Linked DNA regions of Schizosaccharomyces pombe. The gene in region 2 interacts genetically with the main gene of each other region. Each region holds a gene or a part of one and is shown on either strand. Other genes may lie near its edges.

Region 1 (4,357 bases), 1.4 Mb from region 2:
TTTGACCGCTGCTGTATGCTCTTCAAACTTATGTAAAGGACGTGAAGAGCGGTAATCCCATACGAATAAATTATTGTCATTCCCTCCTGAAGCAAGCTGTCCTAGACTTCTATCCCATTGCAATCCGCATATTTCTTGTTCATGAACTTTCATCATTTCGGCACAGCAACCTGGTGCTCTTAGGTCATGATGTAAAATTACTTCGTCTTTGCCTCCACTTGTGAGGGTATTATCGTTCCATGCTAATGCTGCCACCCTTTCGGAGTGACCTTTTAAAGATCTGACTGATTTCGTAGACTCGATATCCCAGATGTAAATTACTCCTGAATCTGTCCCTACAGCTAATTGAGTTCCTTTACCTGTCCATAAGACGCTTGTGACATGATTTGTTGCTCCGAAATCATGTAATTGAACCACTTTACCACTTGCTGCTGACCAGAGATAAATGCTGCTTGCTAGTCCGACTGCCAAGACATTAGATTGGCCCCAGTCAAGCAAGTTTAAATAAAAGTCATTTTTTAAGTAAGGTGCATCCAAGATTTTATATGGAGTTTTTGGAAAAGCTCTTTTGGGCTTTTGTGGTTGCCGCAACATATCTTGAGATTGCGGTGAAATAGGAGATAGAGAATATGATTTTCTATCAGGTGTATCCAACATTTTCTTCTCAATTTTCCTTTTGTCTTCTCCATAATAGAAGGCTCTAGAGCGAGATGCTTGTGAACCGAAGAGCTCCATGCTTAGTAGCTCCATGAATTGCCTTTGAACTGCTGTCGTTAGTAATGGGAATATAAAACTAAAAAAGGTACATACTAGTGCCAGAGGTTTTGCGCCTAAGATTTGATCCATGGCTTAACACACATTCTTTGAATGACTGGAAACTAAAGTTGAACTCATTGCTAACGTTGCGAATGGGAATGAATCGGTCTCCCATTGTCAACCAATTCTTTATAAGTTGAAGTTAGTCGGGATGGAAGGGAAATGTTGAGATTCCTATTTCGTGAATAAATACCTTCCATGCTTTATTTGTTTTTACTGAGTGCTTTTTTCTGCCCGTCTGCAAGACATTGCTACAGAATTATGAAACCAGGTGGCTTGAAAAAATGCTAATTATGAGCTATAATGACTGCAGTAAACAAACATTTGCTAAATACTCTGTATAACTGCTAAAAATAAAGCTATCCTGTGATCGCCGTATTACCTAATGCTACCGTTTAAACTAAACAAATGCACTCATCAAAACAAACTGTTGATAAAAAATATCTCAATAACAATATTATAGTCATCAACCAGCAAAAGGTGATGTTATGGTAAGAGAACTCCTAAAATATGATGTTCATAGAAAAACAACAACAATGATCAGTTGACCACGATGTGCCAAACCCATTGTTTTCTGAATGTTTATTATGATCATCAGATCCCGGTCTTGTAAACTTATTGCCAAGAACCCAATTTCTTCAAAATGTTCAATTAATTAAACATTTATTTTAGTTGTTTTGTAACAGAGTAAATAGTGCTATAGATTCGTTCAAAAAAATTCCAACTACTATCGAATGCAAATACTTTTTACCATGTATGTGAGTACAAAAAAAATTTTCTCCTCATTCTCATTTCAATTGATTTATTCCTAACTATTTCTGTATTTCTTTTGGGATATTCATTTTTAAAGACAAATCTTCGTATGCTACTAATTTTTCCAATTAAATACTATTGGTATATTTCTGCATTTCTTGTTTATTTGATTAATAGTACAATTTCATATTTTAGGACGATAATAAATATGAGTTTTTTTGTACTAAGTGGTAAGCAAAAACAACATTTTTTGTATATCATTAATGTTTTCGTTGTACTACTTAGCATTGCCTATAAGGAAATGCAGCGTGTCGATATATCCCTTAATAACAAACCATCTTTATTTCAGATTTACACTCCTCAGTTTGTGTCCCACCCTTCCTAAATCGCTGTGCTAGCAAACTGCGAATTAAAGCTCACGAAGCGTTTTGTACGATATTAGCGATTGATAAGTTGAAGTGATTACTCAATTATAGTACTTCAAAAATATAATCTTTATGGATACCTCCGTATTAAATCCGGAACTTCAGATTCATGGATTTATTGGCGTGGATTCTTTGCAATCATCAAGGAAACGAAAGAATGATTTTGATGATTTTCCACTTAACAAAGGATTGAAAACAAATAACAATGACTATTCTGGATCAATAGAGCCTAAGTTTTCTCCCGCGTTAAGCATTAAAGAAGATGGTAAAAATGATCGCAATTTCGAGGCCTTAATGTCTCTTCAAGCCCAAGACTCCAACCTTTCTGAACAAAATACATCCATTCATTTGGATGCTTTAGCCTCCTCTTCTATAGCTTTAGGAAATGATAATGTGGATTCGAGCGCCTTCTTGTCAAAAGTTAACAAAGGTGTGAATGCCATGAGAAACTCTACTTCGAATCAAACAAATGATTCTATTTTAATAAGCCCTTCGGAAATTACCAATATGGATCCATTTTTGAAAGGTAGTGCTAGATGGACTGCGGAACATTGGGACTATTTAGAACGACGAATGCAAAACTTCTGTCAAACCTATTCATTAGACCATACACAGGTAGCCGATTCTCTACACGAAAAAAGACTTCACGGGCCACTCTCTTCTTTAGTTAAATTATTGGTTCAAGAAATGCCTAGTTTTACCAGAAGAACAATATTACGGCACCTCCGGGCCCTTTACAACATCCCAGGTTATGAGAAATATAGTAGAAAAAATTCTTCTGGAAGAGGGGATTTCGGGGTCCAGGAAACTGCCATTATTTCCCAAGAAGTACATAATTTTATTATGGATCAAGGATGGTCCGAGTATCAATTTTGCAATCAAATTTGGGCAGGAAAATGTCCAAAAACAATCAGAATGTTTTACTCTAATTTATATAAAAAGCTTTCCCATCGTGATGCCAAGAGTATTTATCACCATGTACGACGTGCATATAACCCGTTTGAAGATCGCTGTGTGTGGAGCAAAGAAGAAGATGAAGAATTAAGAAAGTATGTGTTTATATTTTTATTCAAAAATCATTAACGTTTAGAAATGTTGTTGAACATGGTAAATGCTGGACGAAAATTGGTCGTAAAATGGCTCGAATGCCTAATGATTGTCGTGATCGTTGGCGCGACGTAGTACGTTTTGGCGATAAATTGAAACGAAATGCTTGGTCGTTGGAAGAGGAAACTCAGTTATTGCAAATAGTTGCTGAACTCCGTAACCGTGAAGACTTAAGTTCTGACATTAATTGGACGCTTGTTGCCCAAATGTTAGGTACTAGGACTCGTTTACAGTGTCGTTATAAATTTCAGCAATTGACGAAGGCTGCTTCAAAATTTGAACTTCAAGAAAACGTTTGGCTCTTAGAAAGGTAAGTATTGACCTACATAATTTCTCTTGCTTGCTAATATTTTAATTTAAGGATTTACGACTCGTTATTGAACAATGGTGGTAAAATTCATTGGGAAAATATCGTAAAAGAAGCTAATGGACGATGGACACGCGATCAGATGTTGTTTCAATTTATAAATTTGAAAAAAATGATACCAAGTTACGACAATCTTCCTCTTCTAGAAGCCACGAAGTCAGCCATTGATGACTTTAAAGTGGTACTTTCTGGATTCTCCAATTGACGTCCTTACAATTTTTTGAACGAAAAAATTTGTTTTAACTTACTTAAGTAACTTTGTATCTTTTTACAAGTCCTTATTAAAATGACTTAATTCTTAACGCAACACCTTCATACTGAGGATATGTAAAGTCGCCTTACTACTACCGCTCTTTGCATTTCTAGTTATTGGCGAATAGTTTTTGGAAGAATTCATAATTTCCTTAGCAATAGAGGATTTTTTGTAAATTAATAATTAAAATTGAATTGTTTGCTAATTCCGTATGAATAAATTCCAACTACCAAAAACTTTAAAGTCTTTATGGCATCACCCACATAATGGAGAGTTAATAAGCATAAACGGCTGGGTACGATCTATCCGAAAACTAAAAAATGTTTGTTTTGCCATGGTTTCTGATGGTACATGTCAACAAGCCCTTCAAGTGGTGACTTCGCCTGAACAGAGTAAGAAGTATGGTTGAGGAGGAGACATAAAATCTAAATTATATGATATCTTTTTCCTACTAACATTAATTTATTATCAAGGCTATCATATGGTGCTAGTGTGAATATTGAAGGCCAGTTGGCAGTTTCTAAAAACGCAAAACTTGGATTGCAGCAGTATGAACTGTTGGCTGAGAAAATAAAAATTTACGGCCAGATAAATGATGATGTATGTGCTTTCAAAATTGAATATACTGCAAGTCTA
Region 2 (7,161 bases):
TGGTATAATGACAATAGATGGTGCAGAAGAAAGCAAAATGATTCAATGTCAAAATCAGATTTCAAATGTTTATCGAGTTCATCATCAGGAAGTGCATTACTCTTCTCTGGCGTATCATTGTCGCCGCGAAACAGCTCAGTAAGTAACCGCCAAAAGTTCACAATAGCGCGAGGAGCAATATCTTTCGCATCAGCATCTTCCTCCAACTTTTTCTCGTATATTTGTTTCAAAATAAGCTCTAAGTGACGAACTTGCTCGAGTAGCCGTTCACCAGCGTTCATTTGTACTGCATCTAGGACAGATGGTTCACGAATTGAATTACCCATTGATTGAGCAATTTCCAGTATACGGCTCATACGCTCTACAAGCTGCTCAATTTCCTCATTGTTCATTATTTCTTCATCTCGAAATCCAGTTGCGCTCTCATCAGCGGTGATGGCAGAAACCGGTGAAGATACCTTGCTACAGCTACCTGGTTTAAGCTCAGCAATGCACACAGCAACCATATGCTTCAATAGGTGCATATAAAATTCTGCAAGTTTCCTTTCAATAAGCCATATCTTAGAAGAAAGTTCTCTAACTCTACGAGAACATTGTTCGTAATGCTCTATCGTACTTTGTTTATGTTTTCCTTTTTTCTCCTTAGCTTGGGCAACCATCAAATTCTTAGCAGCTTCTCTAATTTTGGCTTCGACAGCCAGTTTTTTTATAGAAACACCAAGTAATCCCTGCAGGTTTTTTATTTTCTGTTTTATTTCTTCAACGTCTTTTCCGGAAAGGTACACCCAACCTTTTGCATCTTTAACAGCAGACGCAACTAAAAGGGTTCGCATTTCCTCCTCACCTGTAGATATAGACACATCTTCAGAACTGCTAGCCTTTCCTACATACACGAAAGTGGATAAAAATGGATTGACTGGTCGTGTATTAATTAATATGCTTGAAGAAGGTGGTTCAGGATTCCCATATTTCTCAATTAACTCAGGTTCATATTCATCTGTACTTAAACATCCATGAAACCCCATTTTTGGGTAAAATGGGTAAATGTAAATGTTGAATCTTTTGTTTGTTTACAGCCGCATACGCTTTATTTTGTATGAATTTCGTTTCCATGACAACTAACATTGAAATGTAAATAAACAAAGCACCTAAGCCAACCTATTATCACGTTGCAATGATCGGTCGCTAAGCATTTCATTCTCCAGATTATACGACTATTAAAGTCCCTTTGCAATTTTAGGTTTGTGTATCGGTGGGCTCTGCTGTTTGTTATTTATCGACGTTGAACCGGTATTTTGATCAACATTCATTATGGTGTTTGCAAATAATCCACATTACTTTTTATATGTTAAAAGATTATTTAGAGCATACTTTAACGGTCCTACACTTACATTTATTACCCTATGTGACGAATTCGACCTACACATTTTTACTTAGACCACCTCAAAAAAAGTGATAATATTTTCAAGTATTAATAAGTCAATATTTAGTATATTCGTAAAAACTTTTGTCAAGTTCGTATAGGTTTGTAAATAATGAATGTGCAGATGAAACAAAATTTCGCTTAAAAGGTACACTACCATCCTAGAAGAGATTCCTAGGAACCTCAACACTGAATGGTCGATAACATGTGATAGAAAATTATGTGACAGTACGTTTAAACTTGGTAAAGTAAAGCCTCGTTATCATCAAATGCGACTTTGTTCAAAAACCCTTTTCGTTGTACAGTGCCCAATTCTGGAATGTGCTCAACAGACTTTGCATAATCTAATAAACTATACTGTTTATCGAGATGAACCAAATGTGGAAATAAATAGCCTACAATTTCTAGGTGATGCATGATAAAAAGCCAGTTTTGAGCTGTACGACTAGGTGCTGTGTTTAACAACTTAATAGTGTTTAGGTCATAAGTTGTTAATTCACGATCCACAGACAAAAACGTTTCAGCAGTTGAAGTTTGAACGCAAACAAGGTCAGGGAAACGTTGTACGCAGTGGAAACTAGATATTGGCATAACCAGCAACTTCGGATGACCGATTTTTGAAAAAATAACTTGCTTCTTCCAAAGGGCAAGGTTGGGGTCTAACTCTAAACTAGCAGAAAACTCCGCTAAGTACTTCCAGAGTAGATCTTGTTGTTGATGAGGAAATGAATCGAAATGATCTAGTTCACAAAGGAATTTGCATGGGTTGCTGAGAAGCTCGTTTGTATAATTAGTTTTTTCCTCTTCAGACCAAAAGAAATCAGCTTCCCTTGTCTTTGCTAAGGAGCTTAGCATGATATACCGCTGCTTATGTGCTTCTTTGGGTAAGATCAATGAAATAAGTTTTGTGCTGAAGTAGGATAATTCCCTAATGCTAATGGAATTTTGTTCTTCCTTTTCATTTTCATTTTCAGGATCGTTCAGTTGAATGAAAGATTGCCCAGTATGTTCACTGTCGAAACATAGTAGCAATCGGAGTAAACGTTCTTCTCTACAGCAACGAAAATCCCAACGTGACGAGACCCCTTTAAATTGAAGGACACTAAGTTCCTTTTCTGTATGTTCATAATTGCGTAATTGCAGGATATCGCTTTCATCAAACATAAAGCAATACTCCGCTCTTAACGTGTGTCCAATAACTAGGTTTTCATCATTAGCCAGCAACCCGTATTCATCCAAAATTTGCTTTCTTTCAAATTCATTACCCAGAGAATAGTATGGAGTTCCCAAATCAGTCATAAAGGTCAAGTTGTCATGAGGTTCCGTTCCTTCATTTTCCTCAATACTCTCTAAAGTCGGCACTTTCTTTTGACATTTACTCTTCTTGAACTCTAGAAGGTATTGAGAATATCCGGCGGGATCATCATTTTGTTCTTTTTCGGAAATTTCAACTGTTTCTACTTTTTGATTTGACAATTCTCCATTGTCAACATAAACAGATTCTGTTTCAACAGGATCACTATCAGGAGATAGGCGCTCTTTTCTATTTTCTTCATCGACTGATGAAATGGCTCGAAGGGCCAGAACACGCGGTCCATCTGGAAGACGTTTCTCATGTTTAACGACAAAGCCAGAGTTGGGAGATCCCATCAAAAACTTCCTAACAGAAATCAAAAATTTAGGATCATATCCATCAGTATTTGTTTCCAAGTCGGTTAATACCAAGTTGCTATTGACCTCCTCAGAGCTTCCAATAACCTTCAAAAGTGGAACATATGATGGAGAAGGCGCTAGTGTCTGTAATGAATCCTGCGAGTCATCATGCTCATTAGAAAATCCCAAGTCGGTTGCTTTAACCCCTAATTTATGAAAAATTTTCTTGGCAAGTGCTCCCATTTCTTGCTGTATATTTTCTAAAGATATTTTGCTTTTAGTTGAGTCAATCGTTTCTTTTTCAGAGACATTGTCAGAAAACTCCTGCTGGACTTCCTTTTCAATGTTAGTTTCATAGATGGGATGCATAGTCGTAGTATTATCAGGGTTCGTCAACTCCATATTTACTATACTATCTGAAACAATATTCTCTCCAAAGATACTACTCATTTTGGATCTTGAGGATGCTGGCAAAAGACAAGTTGAATGTTTGTTTACTATGGATCATTTGATCATTGCAGTCTGCATTTAGTCCACTGAGGAAAGTAAACAAAACTTTAAAATTCATATTTATTACTCAACAATGATTGTATTAGTATTATCTTGAACTTACAAAAATCTCACTGTATATTGCCAATTTAACTTGTTTACTTTACGAAACATCGCTAATAATGGACGCTAGTATACCTACACCTCAGTTGCAGTTCGCCATAAATTTCACCATTGAGAGTTTCTATACTAAGAAATAATATTTTCAAAGTTTTTATGAGTATTAGATGTCATTCTTATGAACAATTTGGAACAGTATGCAGTAAACTTGTCGCGACTGTAGATAAACATTCTCTAACAAAAGAATTAGATTAGAACGATTGGAACAATCGATTACTCTAGCACTTTACGAAATTGATGCAAATTTTTCTAAATGTCATCGAACAGTGACTACCAAAATCTTGCCTATCGTGGAAAAATACGCAAAAAATTGTAACACTATATGGGACTCTTCAAAAGTATGTTCAATGGCAACTGCCACTCATGATTCAGCTTGTAATTTGTATTATTTTAAGAATTAAGCTAACAGAAAACAGTTTTGGAAGCAGTTTTTTGAAGCAAGTGCCAATGTTTCACTTTCGGGTGTAGAGGAACCTGTTCCAGTAGAATCCAATCCAAGCGATCAAGATGTTATGTCTAATTCTACAGAGGCGGACCTACAGCTGCACACAAAGAATGAACATTTGGAAAAGAGGCATTCTTTTGTCGGAAAATCTGATTTTCCCGATGCAGCTGTACAAGGAGATAATACAAAAAACGAGGATTTTGTACAGTCCACTCCTAAGAAGATGGATGTCTCCTTAGAGGATATTTCGTTAGATGATGCAGCTTTGACCCCCATCCCGGCAAGGATGCAGACTCCGCTAAGAAAACCAGAAAATAATCCTCATACAGGTCGTAGTGCCCTTCTGCATCGCGTTTTAGATACAAATTGGCAAGTACAAGTGACTCCACGTGAGCCTAAGAATTTGCAATCTCAAGAAGTAATGGATATTGATTCTTCTCCTTTTGTATCGCCTTCTCCCATATCAATGAAAATGGACATGCCTTCACTTAACGATAGAAACTCTTCGCATGCTCTTTCTTTATTTGCAGAATTTGAGCATGAAAGCTATGATAGCATTAACCCAAGTGGAATGTCTCCACCTAAAACTATCCAATTCAGCCCGCATACCATGGGGGTGGGTTCTTCTCAGCAAGCCAACGAGCGAAGCCTGTCTTTGCAGAGGAAATTAGAAACCTTGAATGATTCTAATGATAGTTTTGTCAAAGAAGAAGATAGTTGGGAACTCTGATAAAGCACTGCTGAAGTTATCACCTTCGTTTCGCCTTTAGTAGTGAACCTTACTTTCGCATTTTTTCTATTTATTTTCTAAGCACATATGTCTACTTCATAAAATCCCACCTTATATTTATGTTATATAATTTTTTATTTACTGTACGTTCTATTTAATTTGGAAAATTCTTCTTTTAAGAGAATCATAAGTCACGGTATAAATACTGTAAACCAAGTAAAATTTGTATGAAAATAATTTTAAAATAAACTAAGAAAGCAAATAACTATAAAATTTTTAAATAAATTAGTATTATAGCCTAATTAATAAATCTTTTTACAGCATATCATTGAGAATATACGTTAAGACGAATAACGAGGTTTTAAAAATTCTAAAAAAGTCTAAAGAATTTTAGTGACTTGGTTAATAATAGTTTGCCTGGTTGAGCAGACAGGTGAACTTAGTATCCACCACTCTTTTTTGTGCAAGGAAAATGGGGTTTGACGTTGCAGGCTATTTACAATCATATTCATTGAAGGACTGGATTCGAATTATCGTATATGTTGGAGGATATATGTTAATCCGGCCATATTTGATGAAGTTGGGAGCCAAGATACAGGAGAGAGAACATAGAAAATCTTTATTAGAAGGCGAAGTAGATGGTACTTTAGATCCGGAAATGACGCATGGCACGAAGCCCAAAGAACATGGAGAATTTGACACGGATGATGAGGAAGAAGAAGAAAATCCTGATGCCGAATTCCGTTGGGGTTATTCAGCACGCCGCCGTATTCGCAAACAACGTGAAGAATACTTTAAGAATCAAGACAAATCTCCTCTTGATGCTTACGCTGATGATGATGAAGACATCGAAGAGCACCTTGAGGATTAATTCTAGTTGTGAGATAATATTCATTACTCCAAGCACTTTAGAAAACTTGTGTCATTTAGTTTGTTAATCATTGTTTTAATTTCTTTGTGAAAATTTGATATCCTTTTCTCTTGAAACCGTGACTGCATGGATGAAAGCAAAAGCTAATTAATTGAATGTAGGATTAATAATGCAATTTGAGAGTGCATTCTTTTCCTACGAGATCAACGAAAGTCCTTTGATTGTTTCTCCTTTTTCTTGCATTTTTAAGTCATAATATCTTTTCGTGAGCCAAGCTTTAATCAATCCCCTGTTAGGTTTAATTTCAGCGTTTAGATCAATTTATTTTTCTTTCCCACTCATTCCAGTATTTTGAGTTGAAATATTACGTATTCTAAATAATCCTTAAATGCTCTAACAAAATTTAAGTATTTGCGGTAATATTACGATAAACGCTATTAACGCATGCATATGGGTTCAAATTTGCTTATTTTGAGCTTGACATGTTACGTTTCGGGGTGGGCTCTTACCGTCCATGTTTCGATCATTTGGACGTTTGTTTAGGGGCTCTGAAGAGAGCCCTACTATCAATGATTTGACTTCAATAACCATTTATCCTCAATGTTTCATTAGTACTGGTAAAGAGTACGGTAGTGAACCCAAGCACATATCAGTTCATGTTCGCGGTTGGGTTTACGAGAACCCTGATCTCAATAATCTTGGTCGTAAAGATCGTTTAATGTTGAATTTACTTCGTAGATATGTCGGTCTGCCTCCAAAATCCAAAGAAACGGGAACATATCCTGAAAAGGATGACGAAAACACAAATTTGCAGGTTGTAGTAGACACGAAAGCTCAATTGAACGTGAACGTGAATGATGGAAAGCCTAATGATATTGAATTATCATCAACCTCTAAAACTGAGAATGATCCACCTTTGTCCCTGCATACGACTCCCGACGACTTACAGGGAAATGGCGTGAATGTACCTAACCCTTCATTGTCTGCCTCAAGGAGTTGGTATCAATCGGGGTATGGAATATCAGGATTTTTTAATCGAATTATGACTCCTTCGGTAAATTCTCAATACATTTCTACTATAGGTTTGGCCAAATGTGAGGAATACTTTGAGGAGCGCTCTTTAGCGTCTCTGCAACGAGGCTTAAAAGATGAGTTTGTTTTGGTAAAAATATATGCTACTGATAAGAATTTTGAGCAGAAAGTTGTTGCTGAATTTAACGTTGCTACGAATGTTGAAGGATATTTTATTATAGATGAAGTGATCCCGTTTTACACCACTAAAAATAACAAGTTTTCTGTGGAAGCTGTTCTTCTACAATCTACCTCGGAGGATAAAGTGATCAAAGCTTATATGAGCGAAGTACCCGTGT
Region 3 (8,681 bases), 1.0 Mb from region 2:
TCTTTGCTCCTCGATTGTTGGATTCGGTGACTTGACAATTGACGAATTTTCCATTACGGAAGTTTTTTTATTTTATTTCCCTAGTATGATAATTCAAAAAATCAAATAATAATCCAAAATGAGAATGGCTATTGTTAGAAATGAAACAATCAATAAGAAAGCAATTTATAGATGTCGATACGGGTTTTGTAATGACCAAGCTTCTTAATCTCTAAGTCTCAATTTAATTACAAATTTTTTGATTTTTTAATGAAAATATAATCTGATTGTTCAATAATTAAAAGAAAAAATGCTCATCCGTAAAGAATTCATTAGAAAGGTAATATGTGAAAGGTTAGTCAGCTTTTCTCATCATAAATCATGGAGAAGAGAAGTCACCAAGTTTGCTTCATGAGAAAAAGTACCAAGTTTTCATCCCACATTTTAATTTTATAAACTGTATATATATATATTTATATTTCTGCATCAATTTTGTGAGTGCGCTTCTCCTTTAATTTGAAATACCAAAACACTACAATATAGTTTAAATTATCAAACATTTAGCATAAGAGTACATTACATTACTTTCTTTTGGCTTCAATGCTTCTATTTGCATAATCTTAATAGCAGGATATAATAAAATATTGTCCCTTGTCCTTGTATATTTAGCTAATATATGAGGTACAATAATTAGAGACGATTTGTAATAAGCAAACATAATGTTGACTAAATAAACTCATCAAAAGGATATTTTGATTATGAATTGGTAGGATAATCGTTTTTTAACTATTAGCTAAAACAGACGTTTGAGAGACGCTAAAGCTCTGCGATTACCGAAAGTGCTTCAACTAGACGAATTCCAAACAAAAAAAATAAAGAATTCTTGCTTCAGATATTTTTAAATCTTAATGATTTTACCAATAGCGCACTGACATTGACGCTTCAGTCATATACGTACTATGAAGTTATGGTGCCAAGACCAGTAATTACGAGAACAGCATACCTTTACACAAAACAATTAATGGTATAACAACCCACGAAACATCATTTATTGATTAAGCTATTCCTTTTTTTATTCTTCATCCTCGAGTAAGGAGTATGCAATGCGGTCCAAGTCACGTTGACCTTGTTGTGAGATACGACGGCCACCGTTGTCGGACTTCTCGAGGACACCGATTTTTTCCAAACTTTGAACGACTTTGCGTTGGACACTGCCAGATCCATCACGGTGATGAGAAGGACGCATGCCACGGTTGACGGAACCACCATAGACCTTGCAGAGACGACCAACACCGACTTGCTTACGAAGGTAAATGTGACGAGCAATAGCGGCAGCACGAACGTAGTACCAATCAGGATCGTACGGAGCTAATTCCTTGTGAGTACCGGTCTTGACAATATCAATCCACTGAGGAGTGGTCATTTTACCTACGGATCAGTTAGAAACTTGCTTTATAGAAAGAAATGAGTGAGTAAATGTTAATAAGCTACAAGTTCACTGTCAATTTCACACGTATGCTAAACAATCTTATTCTGTGATCAGACAGATGAAAACCTTCTACAACCAAAAGTTCCCATTAACAGCTCAATCTTCTACCTACCGGAGCGCTTTAAAAAAGCAGCATAAGCATTGATAAACTGCTGAGCATCGACGTCCTTTACGCTAACACCTGCCATTTTACCGTTACTACTGGGTTAACCGTTAATTTAGCTGGATTGGAATGCTATACCAAATTCGATACCAACTCATAAAAAGTGACTGCTAAATATAAAAGTAACTATTTGGGGATTTAAAATACATAAATAACTTGTATATTTTATTTTTAATAGTTTTATTTTATTTTTCTTGTATTTTTCTTGGTAATTTTTTCATTGTTTACATTTCAAGCTTCCCATACTTGTGTTCTTCTTAATAGCTTCACACAACTAAAACAAATTCATTCCTAGAATCAGTATTACGATACTGCTATGAAAGAAGGGTCTTCAATTTCCGTTGCAGGTAAGAATTTCAAAAAAATCCTTCGAAACTGACCATCAAGTTCGTGTACGACCGTTTACTGAAAGAGAAAAGGGATTGCTCGCGGAAACTCCGAAATCCAAAGAATTTCTTGGAGATGGAAGTTTGGCAGTGTCAAATACATCTTCGAATACTTTTTGTACGAATGGAATTCGAAAAATTGTGCGTGTTTTAGACGATAACGTGCTAATTTTCGATCCTCCTGAAGAAAATCCATTGGCCAAAGTCCAAAAATCGCTATTACCTGCAGGGAAACGCTTTCGGGATGTTCGATATGCATTTGATCGTCTTTTTGGTGAAGAAGCCTCACAGGAGGATGTTTACAAGGGTACCACAGAGCCGTTGTTGGACAGTGTTTTGCAGGGATATAATGCCACTGTGTTTGCATATGGTGCTACAGGATGTGGTAAGACACACACAATCAGTGGTAGACCAGACGATCCAGGCATTATTTTTTTAACGATGAGGGCATTGTTAGATAGAGTTGAAGGACTCAAGCGAACGATGAACGTCGACATTAGTGTCTCATATCTTGAAATATATAATGAAAAGATTCGAGATCTTTTAGTACAGGATCCCCTTTCTATGGAAAAACCAAAATCGTTAAATATTTGTGAAGATGCTGAGCAAAACGTATCCGTTCCTGGTCTCTCATATTTTACACCAACTAATTTGGAAGAAGTAATGGAGATTATTATTCGTGGAAACAGTAATCGAACCATGTCACCAACAGAAGCCAATGCTGTTTCGTCACGCTCGCATGCCGTTTTACAGATTTATATCACGCAAACTCCGAAATCGGGTGAGAAGCAGGAGGAATCAGAGTCCCAAAATTCCCATAAAGTCCGTTCCGTATTCTCTTTTATTGATTTAGCAGGCTCAGAGAGAGCGAGTGCAACGAAAAATAGAGGCAAACGTTTAGTAGAAGGAGCAAACATCAATCGGTCTTTACTGGCATTGGGAAATTGCATCAACTCGTTGTGCGAACCTCGTCGTCGACAACATGTTCCATATAGAGACTCGAAGTTGACTCGTCTTTTAAAGTTCAGTTTAGGCGGAAATTGCCGCACGTGTATGATAGTTTGTATCTCACCGTCGTCGGAGCATTATGATGAGACACATAATACCTTAAAGTATGGCAATCGAGCCAAAAACATCAAAACGAAGGTTTCGAGAAACGTGGTGAGCGTAGATAGGCATGTAAGTGAATATGTACGCACCATTTACGAATTACGACAAAAGGTTAGCATACTTCAAAAGAGGATTGCTGAAGAGTCTAAGCAATTGGCTTTAAATAAGGAGGTACGAAAAATTTCTTCTCGAGAAATTAAAATGTTAGATGCTAGAAGCATGCTCAAAAACTCATTTGATGGTTCAAGGGATCTGCAGAAATCACTAATTGAACATGTACGTACATTGAGAAGGATTGAAGATGAAATCACATTAACAAAGATGTGGATTTCCATTGCTAAGGAAAGTGATGCTATGTCGGGGCATAATATAAAATCTGTCGAAACAAGACTTGCAAAGTTATACGATCAAAGAAGCTTGATTACTGCCAAAGTTAATCCAGAAGAAATCTGCAAAACTTTTCAAAACAGTATTTCTCATATAGTGTCTTCGTTCAAAGGTGAGGGGGCTGATATGTATGCTGACATGTTGCAAGACGACGTCGATTTGTTGAAATCTATTATCGAAAACCAAATTCTTGATGCCAAGCATGAGTCTGAAACATTCTCTTCAACGTCTCGTAAGCTTATCCAGAACCTATTCCTACTATTCCCCCTGTTACCAGGAAATGCCATTGATGTTAATGAATCCCTTGCAAGGGCCTTTGACCAATTGGTTGGAATAGTACCTTCAGAGCCAACCATTCAAGTTCCCAATTTAATTGAAAAAGGAAAAGCACCTCTATTATCAATGTTTGAAATACCTCGCTCTCCTAGTCGATTCAAGGCTCGCTCACCATCCAAAGCTGCTCGAGTTCTAAAGAAGCCTTTGAAGAAACGAGTTCGATTTAGTGAAGTTCCCACTACTAGTTCCGTACCTCCTGTTGAAATAAAGAATAAAGATTCGAAACCGAAAGTGGAAAAATCTTTAGATAAACATAATATGAACAACGATCGCTCTTTTCTTGTTCCTTCGAGAGATGCCCGAAATAGCTTAACGTCATTGTCATTGCATTCTAATGTCGCGAAAAACAAAAGTTCTCATTCTTCCAAATGGCCAACTCATACTCTGAGTCCTATAATTACAACTGCACTGAAACAACCAGTACGCCGTATATCGCTTGTTTCACAACCTTTACAAAAAACTGGCGGGACTGAGAATACTCCTAATGCTTGAAGAAACCAACGAGATCGGTTTTCACTCAAATAGTTGGTATAATTTTTTTTGGAAGGACAACATCAACTCCTCATTGGCTTTTCTTCATTTTCATTTTTAAGCTACTTATGATTTAGCATTTCATCATTTTTTTGCATTCCCCTTTAGACACTGTTTGACATATCCATGTATCTATGAACCATAGTCGCGCCGTTCTTTTATTTGACGAATTTAATTTATAAGAGGCCTAATAATTTTTGATATTCTCATGTCAAGGTGAAAATGCTTTTGTTTTGTGCACTGTTCATCAATTTTTAATTTAATCGGGATAATGATTGACCGTTTATGCCAATTTGTCTGTAAGCAAGAAATCCCTATTTAATAGCACTTTTGAACAAGGCGTTAAAGTTAACGATCATATATTTATATGGACTTTGCATCAATTACTCGTTTCACATTTTGCATTCCATTTTCTAATTCGGTGCTTTTCTTTTAATAATATTTGTAATTGAAAAAGTAAAATAACTTTGAAATTGTGTATGATTATTCATCTTGCTTATTCAGCTAGCGTTTTGTATTAGGGACGCCTTTAAATGTAAACATAAGTAACATTGTTACTTGATATCGGCGTATTTCATCATGCCTGGCTGAACGATTTTATGCTCAGCATATACCTCTGATTTCTCATTTGTATAAAATAGCGCTTGTCAAGCAAAGAAAAATACTCAAAAATTAACAATGTTTATGCTAAAATCATTGGGGTAAGTGCTAAAGTCGCAATTGATGAAATAACAATACTAACTTAAGATCTAGGAAGTACATATGGGGTAACACGAATTCGACCGAAATTGTTCAAATCCCTTATGGGCAGCTGTATTCGGTGCATGAAAATTACAGGGAGTGCATGTAAGTTTGAACGGAATGAGATAAATCATTAATATTTGTATTGGGTTCGTACAGCTAACGATTGTATAGGTTCAAGGATGCAAGTGCGTCAATTCGACGAACAACGGCGGAATTTCAGTATCAGCTTGTCATACAAAGAGCATACGAAGAAGGAGAAGAAGAGCTAGAAGATGATGGAGACGAAGCTGAGGACGAACAGTCGTTTTTACTAGACGAAAAATTGCACTTGAGATTTGACGTAAATAAAGACAGCATCACGATAATGTGGGATAACCCAGACTTTCAAGATGGCACGTTGTACGAGTTTACGTGTGAGAATTGTTTACAAGAAGGCGTTGCTTATACCTTTGAAATGGTAGCTTTGCAGTGTATGTACGAACGCAAATACCGACAATCTCACGAAAAGGCTACGCTTGCCGACTTGGAGCAATTTAGCAATCCCATTACTCGACCATCAAAGGAAGTGGACAGTTTAGAAAATATTGTCACCAAGTTGGATTTGGAGTCCGAAGACTTGATGCGTTTAAAAAAGCAAGAGCAATTGGATGATGAGATTGCAAAAAAATATCTTTTAGGACAACAGGAAGCTGAAGAGCCTCTAGTTCAACAGCAAACCTCGATTGTTAATCCGGAAAAAGAAGAGGTCACCAAAACTGAAAATATCAAGAGCCTAGAGGGCGAGCTAATGGGAACAATAAGTGCTGAATTACATTTATTCGATGCAGTTGAGGAGGTTTTTATTTTACAAGATCCAAATGTGGAAGCGAGCGTATTTGACTTGGGAGATTGGAATTATTGGTTTACTATAAGCACTGAAGAGAAGACATGGTTAAGCCAGTCTGTAGATGCAGACATGAATCCAGTATTTTCTTTTGAACATCTTTCGTTTATTTGGAATTATTTTGACGCCAATAGTAATGCCTTTTCATGGTTGTTACGATTCGATTCGCAAGTTCGCATGGAGCAATTTCAGGAACTGCTAATGCGTGCACTTTGGGAAAGTCTCAACCAACAGCGTTGGCTCAAAATTGATGATGAACAGCGTGATTATGTTATGGAAACCTTTCATGAAGATGAAGAATTAGAAGATAGTGAAGACGAGGAGTTTGCTCGTCAACAGTTGTTAAGCAGGAAGGAGGAAGAGGAAGAGGAGGATGAGGAAGCCAGCGATTTCGAAGATTCGTTTGCAGATTTTAGTGACGGTGAGGCTGATGATTTGGATGAATCAAGATGGCGAAAGGAAGCTGCTAAAGAGCATAACAGTTTGTTAGCGGTAGGATATAAAAACGATAGATCTTACGTCGTCCGAAACAACAAAATTGGCGTTTTTAAGCATGTCGACGAAAAAGGGTTAAAATTCCAAACCGCTTTGAACAATCTTTCAACGCCTAAGGGCAAATCACTCCGACCTAGCAAGCTGATGTTACACAATCAAGATTCTTCGATTTTATTCCAAACTGAAAATGCGCCACATAGTCTGTATCATATGGATATTGAATATGGAAAGATCGTTGACGAGTGGAAAGTCCACGATGATGTTCCTCTCGTTACATTTACACCAGACAACAAATTCGCACAAATGACAGCTGAACAAACCTTGATTGGTCTTTCAAACAATTCCATCTTCCGAATTGATCCTCGTGTGGAGGGCAATAAACTGGTTGCTGAACAGTTCAAGCAGTATGCTACTAAGAATGACTTTAGTTCTGCTGCTACAACTGAAAACGGTTATATAGCAGTTGCTAGTAACAAAGGTGACATCCGTCTATTTGATCGTATTGGTGTGAACGCAAAGACTGCTTTACCAGCGCTTGGTGAGGCGATTATCGGGGTGGATGTCACAGCGTCTGGTGATTTTGTGCTAGCTACCTGTAAAACATATATTTTGTTGATTGACACCCGTATCAAAGAGGGTCGATATGCCGGTCGTTTGGGTTTTGAGCGTAATTTCGCCAAAGATAAAAAGCCAAAACCTAAACGACTACAGCTAAGTCCACAACATATAGCGATGATGCAGAGAGAGCTCAAGGGAGGTGCATCCTTTACACCAGCTAAATTCAATACCGGAATTGACGCAAAGGAAACAACTATTGTATCCAGTATAGGCCCATTTTTGATCAGCTGGAACTTGGATCGTGTTAAACGAGGATTTACGGATAGTTATAAGATTCGAAGATACGATGCCAATGTTCAAGCTGAAGACTTTAGGTTTGGAACCGATCGTAGTCTGATTGTGGCTCTACCTGACGACGTAGCTATGGTGGACAAATCATCGCTGCGTAGACCAACTCGGGAATCTATCTGCACTCCGGTAAAAAAATTACGATCCAAGCACGACATTGTCAATGCACCATATTAAAATCATAAATGATGGGTTGTATATCGTTACTTCGTTTGATTTGAACAAGACTTTAAGTGCACCACAATGCTCTTAATGTCATTTTTTTAATGTTTGTATTACCTGTCTGCTCTTTTTGTCATTTTTTATGATCTCCTTGGCTTTGATTTTTTTGAGCTTGGGTTCGATTTTACCTTATTCCTCCCGCTTTGGGTGTGTGCGGGCCATAGAACGAAACGACTAATGATGCCTAGTGTATTGTTTGATACTTTCGTTGTTACTATATGAAGTTGATGGTTGGCTTATTATGGGAGCATGTTTTCTTTTTTTTTGTTTTGCATATGCATACATATATAAGTAGAGCCCAGCATTATTACAGTCTAGTTGGATTTTTTACTTTCTCGTCTATCTTGTACATACATAAATTACATACTCCCTTGAGCGTTTTTCACGGACTTTGGATGATCGATTTAGTTTGCCGTCGCAAACGTGGGATTTGTTTCGTTTAGTTGTTATAGTTAGTTTATTTAATTTAATATAATCACAATTTCTTTGTGCACGTAAAAAGCAGTTCAAACATTCGAATTATCTTTGGTCGGGCAATCTGTACGGGATTTTGGGTAGGGTGATTAGACAAATACATGTTTTAGTAAACTATGAGATTTGAAAAGTGTAAATGGGGATATAAATAATTTTTTTTGTAACATTTTACACTCAAAATTATTTGCTTATCACAAGGAAAGAGATGCTCTTTACTCAAAGCAGTGACAGTGTAATTAAACATTTAATATACAAAATCATTCGTTACACTATTACAAATCCTCTACAATGTATATGTCTCATAATACTTATAAACAAACCAAATAACGGTTAATTAAAATATCAAATTTATTTATTCAATTATTCAAATAACAAGTGAATTGAAAAATTCTCCTTTCACGGCGCCAAAAATAAAAGCAAAACATACAGACAAAATAAAAGTTTGCAGCCAAAAACAAAAACTCTTCCATCATAAATTCGTTTGGGCCAGATATCTCATGACTACCTAAGAATAATAATATAGCCTCCTCTTGCTAACAAAGTCAAATCAAACTTAGTAAATAAAATAAAAGATAA
Region 4 (7,900 bases), 830 kb from region 2:
ACATTTCTATTTTCGTCTAAAAAAATATTTCCAGGCTTAAGATCTCTGTGCATCATTCCCCGACTGTGAATATATGCCAAAGCTTCTAAAATTTGTCTAAACAACCGCCACATTTCATCCACAGGAATTTTATCTCGTATGATATCTTGCAATGACAACTTTTCACAATATTCCATTTGTATGTAGAGCGTAGCATTCAAACCATTTTCTTGTGTTTTAACTGAAGAAGCTTCTTCAATGCTGCTGTCTTTATCGGAAGAACCTTCTTTATCTGAAGTATTAGAATACTGAAAGGAGATGTCAGAAGCTTCAGGGTCTTCCTCGTCTGCAGATGAATTATAATCATCTTCAAAGTGAATATCGAGGCTAGAAAGCTTATCGGCTGGAAGACTTGAAGATTGCCGAAAGTCCACTGCCATATTTAAAGATTGACTCAACGACTCACTATCGGAGCTAATTATCTCAGTTACAGTATCATTAGCTTCAGTTTCAACCCAAGCAGTATAATAACGCACTACATGTTCATGATGTAAACGAGACAAAGTCATAACTTCACGTAAAATTCTGCTATTCTCTTTATCATCGCTCAAAAGGACAAGCTTTTTAACCGCATAAAACCTTCCATCAATTCGATTTTTGACTTTAACTACTTCACCAAAACCGCCACGTCCTAAAAATTCAAGTTCTTCAAAATCTGTTTCATAACGTGAAACGCTTTTCCTGTACAACAAATCAATAATTCCATCCTGTTGACCACCATAAGAAGGGCGTGCAGATTTTGAAAAGGTACCCTGCTCAACTGGAGGAAGAACTGCTGTACCCAAACGAATGACATGACTACTTAACAAGTCAATGGCGCTAGGGCGTTTCCTTGAATCGCGCATTAAACAGCGACGAACCAAATCTTGATAAGACCCCGGAAGAAGAGGAATTACATGAGTCATAATCAGTTTTAGTGAAGAGAATTTATTCAAAACGTGAGCTCCACAAAGCATCTGCAATACTAATAGTCCAAAACACCAGATGTCAGTTTTTCTCGATGCAGCTGCAAATGATGACTCAGAAACCTCTGGGGGATACAGCCCTTCCGGTAGAATATTGGTAATGGATTGAGAATTAATGTTAAAAGGATGAGATGCGTTCATGTCTCGTAAAGTGCGTGTAAACCCAAAATCCATTAGCTTTGCAAAAGTTCTATGGCCTGAATGAAAAAGCACCACATTGTCCAAGTGCAAACTTTTGTGTGAAATTCCAAGACGATGCAGCTCAGCTAAACCTTCTAAAATATTGTTTGAAAAAGCTCTAACGGTTTCAACGTCTAAAGTAAGGACGGTTTGTAAAAGACTAAACAGAGTGAACTTCGGAGAATATTCTTGCAAAACGTACAACCTCCAACCATAACCTCGTGTCTCTCTTTCCAGTTGATACTCATAAATTGAAGCTAGTAAATCATGCCGAATAACTTTCAGACTTTCAAGTTCATATTCTAATTCCTGTATTTCACGTTTTCCGTCTTCTGTACTCCAGTAAGGCGTACTAATTCGGACGGTTCTAAGTAGAAAAACACAATCCTGTAAAGATATCTCTTTAGATTCAGGCTTGACCAAAGTCAAAGTAGAAAGGTTGGAATGCGAGATTGTATACAAAGGAAGCACTCTATTAAATGTAACCAAAGAATCGTGACAGTCTCTAACGGATATAGAACAATCAAAATAAATAGAAGTTGGGAGGGTTTCGAGAGAAGTTGTTTCCTTACTATTCGTCTTTTTCTTAGAAGAAGATTGCGGTGTTTCGTATGAGCGGCGTTGTAATTCATCTTGAATTTTGTTCTGAAGCGTTTGTTCTTCCTCAAATAAGGCATCTTTCTCCCGTTTTAACCTAAGTTGTAAATCCACTTCCGCTCTCTCTCGATCATGCTTTAGTTGTACCGCACGTTCCTCTTCCAAGCTAGCAAATTGAGAAGAGAGGTCAGACTGCCAATCATTAAGATAGTCCTGCACTATACTGGCAAGTTCAAAAATCATTTCCTCTCCTAGCAAGTCTTTTGCCTTTGTATCTAACTTATCAAGCAAAAATCGAATCTGAGAGTTTAGGACATTTTCTCCATTTTGTAACTTGATCACTGGTTTCACATAAGGATAGCTTCTTCCAAGCTCAATACAAAGATCAAGTTTCGCAATACTTTTAGAGTTTGCACTTCTTGAACATAGATGTATACAATAAACATGGCCGTTTGTAACCTAAGATACCATTGTTAGTAAATGGGTAGTGAACAAACATTAATCATACATTCCAAGCATTCCTAACTTTCAACTCCTCAAAATCATCCATAAAAATGGCTTTGAGGGCCTCAATTTCATTTTCTTGAATTTCCTTGCATAGTTCCAGACGTTTCGCCGCATCCATGAACAGCTTTTACCAACTATTGTTGCCAATAATTTACTAGTTTAATAGGAAGCAAATATATTTATTCACAATTAAACTGTTGGTTGAAAATTCGTCCTGTGTAAACTGGAAGGAAAGAAAGCAAATCAGTTTATATCAGGACGGCAATATAGGACTTGAAAATATAATTATTATCAATTCTATTTCTTTTCTTTCCTCTGAATTGGATTTTTAGATAAATTGCTTGTTTGCCGCGAATTTGCTGGAGGAAGAAGTTTCTCGCTCGTGGTATACTAAAGATGGAAGAACGCAGTATACTGGTATTGTAATGAGTATAGATTGATTTGAGCCGAATAAATGCGATAATCGGCACGGATCATACATTCTTTAGTTAAGATGTAATTTTGAGTTGGATAAGATGAATCAGACTTCAGATCTTCAATCGATAACGAACAGTTGGATATAATGATTATCTGCATTTGTATGCAAAGCGCTTCATTGTTTGAAGTGAAGCGGTCAAAAAGTTTTAACTTTTAATCGCGTTTGGTTAACTTTTCTTCATTGTTTTACCATAATCATGGATTTTTGATTAAACTACAAAGACATACTTCATAACTGATAAAATAGATACACCAGTAAACTATAACAGCGTTTCATATAATGCAATATAATACAAATTTGTAGTTGCATTCGAAATGTTATACCTTTTTTCCTCCTCTCCTTTCTTCATCATGGTCAGGAGAAGTTTGGAAAATGCAAGCACGCTAGCCTGAAAGCTCGAAACCGCGCAAACTACAGTTTATTTTCTAATTTTACTCTTTGTTCAGACTAATAAGTTATTACACTTATAAAAACAACCTATGAAAATGGTGTGAGTTAAAAACTAGAATCCTGCTCGATTACTAGTAATATGGATGGTTTGTATACTGTTGAAAAAGTCAAGGTTAAATTATTGCAAGCTACAGAAGCTACGGCAGTCATTATATTGGAAAGTAAAGCCTCTGATATACTTTGCTAGCATTGTTCATCGTACGTAAAAACGTGGTAAGGGTAGTGCCTTCATCATCGTTGACGAAGTGAGAATTTTCGAATTACTATTAGATTTTTCTCCCTTGCACGAAATTAACCTACAAAATGGAGGCAGCTCAAGCTTTTGAAAATCTCGCAAACCTAGAGCAAGAGTTTGGAAAAGCAGAAATCGAAATATGTATGTTTAATCGATTTTGCATTTTTGTAGCATAAAATTACGTTTTTTATAAAAAATGTGTTAACAATTGCTAATGTATCTTGGTGCTAGTGAAGAAACAAAATGAGCTTTTTCAACCGCTTTTTGAGCAGCGTCGTGATATTTTGAAGACCATTAACAACTTTTGGGTAGTAGTTCTGGAAGCTGCTGGGGATGAAATCAGTATGTAAAATTGTATACTATTATTGTTTTTGTTTAAACATTGTTGAAATTCTAATTAAGTTATTTCAGGCCAGTACATAACACCTGAAGATAGTGTGTTACTTGAAAAACTCGAAAATATTTATGTTGAAAGGTTTAATGAAAAGGAACCAAGGGATGTCCGAATTTCGCTTACCTTTCAACCAAACGAATATCTTCAGGACGACAACCTTACCTTGGTAAAAGAAGTGAGAATTAAAGAGGAAAAAGCAAAGGATGATGAGGGTTTGGAAAAAAAGATAACCAAGTATACTTCGCAACCTGTTGATATACATTGGAAACCAGGAAAGAGTTTATTTAGAAAAAATAAAAAATTACCTCCTAATTTTTTTGACTATTTTCAATGGACCGGAGAGGAAGAGGACGATGATTTTGATGGAGCAACACTCACAATTTTTCTGGCAGAGGATCTTTTTCCAAATGCTGTAAAATATTTTACAGAAGCCATGACCGAAGAAGCGAGTGATGAGGATGAGTCAGTAGATTTGGAGGAAGATGAGGAAGAAGAAGACGAAGAAGACGAAGAAGGGGACGAAGAAAAGCAAGGTACGAAAACAGGTCTTAAAAAAATAAGGCGAAAGCATGAATAGATGATATGATAGATGTCAATGTATTGTAAAACTAACACAAAAATCGCAGAACCACCTTCCAAAAAGTCCAAGAAGTCTAATTAATTTAAGGAACGAGAACACAGACATGAAATTTTTTTTGTCTTCCCAAAGCTCGAGGTTACCTATGGAATGATTGGTTATTCGTTTATTGGGAAGATGGTTCAAAGAATTAAATAATACAATATAAAGATTTAGTTACAGCACAATAACCAATACCAACAATGCAATTAAGATGATAATGAGTACGGTAATACAACATCCAGATTTAGAGTCTGCGCTTGCAATCGTAAAATCTTTCAACCGCTTCATACCCCTGCGAAGCTTACTATTAGTGGTCTCAATGGAATTGTCAAGAGTATCTAACAAGTCAGCCTGTTGACCCAATTCTTCGCCCATCAAAGCTGCCTGCCCACGAATGTTTCCAATCGTGTCGTAAACCCCGTCCAGCATTACGTCTTGTTGCTGATAAAGCTGCTCTTGATATTGTCGATTGACAGCATGATCTTCTTCAGACAAACCAGCTGAGGCACCATTGTCAACAGTATAAGGTTCTGTAGAAACTGGTGTGCTTGGGGCAGCACCCATCTTTAACTGTATATTGTTTAACTCAATATCCAGTTCCGAGACAAATCTCCTTCTCGACTTTAGTTCTTCTTCATCTAACCCAAAATGCTCAGAATTTTTCATCGCTATTTCCACAGCAGCTTTTAAGTCCTTCAATGTTTCGCTTAACTCATCAATGGCGTAAGTAAGCTCAGTATTTGGTGAAAGGACTCCAGAGTTTCGTGCGGCCATAAAAGAATTGTAAAGCTTTCGCACTTGCTCCATTTGATTTGATGCATCCCTATATTTCGAATAAATGTCAGTTAAATAAAATCTTAAAGCAACAAAAGGAATCTATTAAGACATTTCTGGTTCATCATTGCACAACTTACGCTTTGACTTCATAAAAGGGGTCCTCCATGTTGATGATGTAGAGATATGAGCCAATTTTCTACTTGGAAATGCTTTTATAATTTAAAGAAAAATAAGATAATATAAAATAAACGAAGCAAATTCGTATTATCAGGTATGCTGTCTGCAAATACTAAAGTACTGTGCTGATTCAGTCAAGTAACGACTTTACGATAGATAACGCTACCTAACTGCTCACTCAAAGATCACCGTAAACATTGAGTCCTTACAAAACAAGTAATGGAGAATAAATAAGAAAGCAATATCTCAATCTTGTTGAAAAAACAGCAACCTCCCCTTGTCACTATTTTGTTTTGATTCAACCGTATTCCACCGTTGTATGTTAGATTAAATGTAAACATCTAGGTAAATAAAACGTTTTCAATGGCCAAAAGCAATCTTTCATTCTAGCCTTTGTGCTAAAAAATTAATTCTATTGCTAAAAACCTAAGACTAAATGTTTTAAGAGAAACTGAACACAAAGAAAGTCTTGTGAGCTAAAACAGTACGCTATATATCGCTAGCTTGATGTAAACAAAAGACGCGTAGACACTATTAACATGTTATCAAGAACCACAACATGTCTGAAATTATAACGTCTTTGCAAACAGAGCTGAGCAATCGCCATGCTAACATGGTATCTGAAGCAGTATTAGCATTCAGTGAGCATCATGATAGTGCATTGCATTCATATTTTTTGAATGCACGTGTCAAGTACGTCCATAAGTTTCTTCAGCTAATTGACCCAACAATTCAGAGACGTGATTTTAGAAAGCCTAAGAACGACAGAGGAGAAGCTTCGTGCTTTAGATAAATTACAGCTGGATGCTTCGAAAAACCTGTCAAACCTGTTGGTGGAATATAATAGTATAAACGCAGAATTGGAGTCCGTCAATAGTAAGATCTCTTCTATTTCTTCCCAAGAATATGCATTGGAAGAATTTCAGGCACTTTCCCAGAATTTTGAGAAGAATTTAGTTCAGCATCGTCGTAATTCCCAAAATAAGCTCAAATGTGCAATGGAGGTAAACATAAAAACAAATTATATTGTCATATTACTAACCTCAATAAATTTAAAGAAACTAAAGATGATTGAAACCTCAACTCATAAAGCTATTCTCGACAATTTTTAAATTTCAGAGATCTAATGTCATACTGCCTCAAACCAAGCTTGATAATAACGAAGAAAGTCAACTTTCATCAAACACGCTGACATCGTTATATTAAGGTCTAAATGAAACGGCGCTAAATTTGCTTCTGAGCTCTATGAAACATACATAAAGAAAAGATGTTTAAATGCGTAATTTCTGATAAAGTTATTCTTCTTGGATAGCTTTTTGATATTTACTACAATTGATATTCTAAATGACTTATTATCTTATTCTCTTACGTTAACGAAGTTTAAAAAATTTATTTTGCGATATGCAGTGAGTTTTCCACTTCCACCGGTAATCATATTCCTTTGATCAGTATAAGTTACCCTTTTGTTTTGACCTTATCTCCTGAGGCAACTTTCAACACCATTCTAGCGGGTACTCAACTTTTTGCTCTCGAACATAGTTTAATGAATTTTTATCAAATTGAGTATGGACGAGGATGAGACGACTTATCCAGAGGCTTTGAGACGCTTACTCATTGAAACGCCGGCGGCAATTTGGCAACTGGACGATGAAAGTGCGCAGTGCAATAATTGTGGTGGTCCTTTTACCTGGTTTCGGAGAAGACATCATTGTAGATGGTGTGGTAAACTTTTTTGTTACAATTGCTGCAATAGTTTTGCAAAGCTTCCTGTGAGCAGTGTTTCAGTAGATCCAACTGAGGATCTTATCCCACAAGACATGTTTATTAGAGATCCTGATTTTCTTGCTAATGATAATGATGATGATAATGATTCACAAGACTCTTCATGGATCAATGTACGAGTTTGTGTCAATTGTCGTCAGCAATTGTCGGAACTAAAAGAACTGGATTTACCCTATCCTATCACTACTTGTTTGAACGATGATACCACTACTCGATCTAACAATCAAGTTATACAGTCTTCCTGTGGAAACAATTTGCAGAGGATTGAAGAGCCTGATGATTTTGTTGAATGTCCAGTTTGCTATGCTCCTCTCTCAAGTTTTAAAACCCTTTCTGAACGGGAATCTCATGTTGCGAATTGTCTAAGTAATAATAGTTCATCTCCAAGAAACATGACTGAATTTTTGAAACACGCTAGAAGATACATAAGTATGCAGCTATCAGAGACTTCTCCTTGCCTGGGGCAAGAATGTATTATATGCTTTGAAGAATTTGCTGCTGGTGATAGAGTTGCAAGGATAGAATATTGTCTATGCATTTTTCATTTAAAATGTTATCGTGATTGGCTGAGTACTGGGGCTGCTGGTTGTCCTGTTCATGCCGCTACACTGCATTTATCTTAATATCGTTCCAAATTACTTCTAGGTTTCTAATTTCGGCTTCGGTTGCTTTTGCATGATTAAATTGCTGTCTTCTCTCT

What was found.
Region 1: mutations in ask1 (region 2) and reb1 together harm fitness more than expected from each alone (negative genetic interaction), as found in Schizosaccharomyces pombe (2 studies listed by BioGRID).
Region 3: mutations in ask1 (region 2) and klp6 are lethal when combined (synthetic lethality), as found in Schizosaccharomyces pombe (3 studies listed by BioGRID, with this or other methods).
Region 4: mutations in ask1 (region 2) and ccp1 together harm fitness more than expected from each alone (negative genetic interaction), as found in Schizosaccharomyces pombe (3 studies listed by BioGRID, with this or other methods).

The regions. Positions count from the first base shown.
Region 1 is NC_003423.3:191,252-195,608, reverse strand, and holds reb1 (RNA polymerase I transcription termination factor/ RNA polymerase II transcription factor Reb1), read left to right. Parts: upstream 1-1,999; 5' UTR 2,000-2,066; coding exon 2,067-3,043; exon of another isoform or gene 3,044-3,084; coding exon 3,085-3,411; intron 3,412-3,462; coding exon 3,463-3,673; 3' UTR 3,674-3,857; downstream 3,858-4,357. Other genes in the region: ubiquitin ligase Mfr1, read right to left, coding at 1-764, 811-931; asparagine--tRNA (Asn) ligase Slm5, read left to right, coding at 3,933-4,120, 4,195-4,321.
Region 2 is NC_003423.3:1,560,267-1,567,427, reverse strand, and holds ask1 (DASH complex subunit Ask1), read left to right. Parts: upstream 1-3,776; 5' UTR 3,777-3,863; coding exon 3,864-3,880; intron 3,881-3,935; coding exon 3,936-4,083; intron 4,084-4,161; coding exon 4,162-4,920; 3' UTR 4,921-5,102; downstream 5,103-7,161. Other genes in the region: septation protein Uds1, read right to left, coding at 1-1,025; protein meu25, read right to left, coding at 1,658-3,526; protein trafficking protein Pga2, read left to right, coding at 5,393-5,791; app1 (actin cortical patch protein), read left to right, coding at 6,306-7,161. UniProt on the Schizosaccharomyces pombe protein: Component of the DASH complex that connects microtubules with kinetochores and couples microtubule depolymerisation to chromosome movement; it is involved in retrieving kinetochores to the spindle poles before their re-orientation on the spindle in early mitosis and allows microtubule depolymerization to pull chromosomes apart and resist detachment during anaphase.
Region 3 is NC_003423.3:528,358-537,038, reverse strand, and holds klp6 (kinesin-8 family plus-end directed microtubule motor Klp6), read left to right. Parts: upstream 1-1,890; 5' UTR 1,891-1,947; coding exon 1,948-1,978; exon of another isoform or gene 1,979-2,018; coding exon 2,019-4,342; 3' UTR 4,343-4,846; downstream 4,847-8,681. Other genes in the region: rhp14 (DNA repair protein), read right to left, coding at 1-54; rps1902 (40S ribosomal protein eS19), read right to left, coding at 1,052-1,407, 1,581-1,656; WD repeat protein, Vid27 family, conserved in fungi and plants, read left to right, coding at 5,060-5,082, 5,135-5,227, 5,297-7,586.
Region 4 is NC_003423.3:2,391,181-2,399,080, reverse strand, and holds ccp1 (CENP-A histone disassembly chaperone Ccp1), read left to right. Parts: upstream 1-3,499; 5' UTR 3,500-3,519; coding exon 3,520-3,592; exon of another isoform or gene 3,593-3,682; coding exon 3,683-3,793; exon of another isoform or gene 3,794-3,862; coding exon 3,863-4,378; exon of another isoform or gene 4,379-4,471; coding exon 4,472-4,506; 3' UTR 4,507-4,638; coding exon of another isoform or gene 4,639-5,287; 3' UTR 5,288-5,378; coding exon of another isoform or gene 5,379-5,407; 3' UTR 5,408-5,512; exon of another isoform or gene 5,513-5,523; intron 5,524-5,574; 3' UTR 5,575-5,609; downstream 5,610-7,900. Other genes in the region: eIF2 alpha kinase Gcn2, read right to left, coding at 1-2,240, 2,290-2,406; tlg1 (SNARE protein Tgl1), read right to left, coding at 4,639-5,287, 5,379-5,407; protein mug20, read left to right, coding at 5,978-6,111, 6,155-6,422, 6,477-6,530; pib1 (ubiquitin-protein ligase E/phosphatidylinositol(3)-phosphate binding protein), read left to right, coding at 6,984-7,823.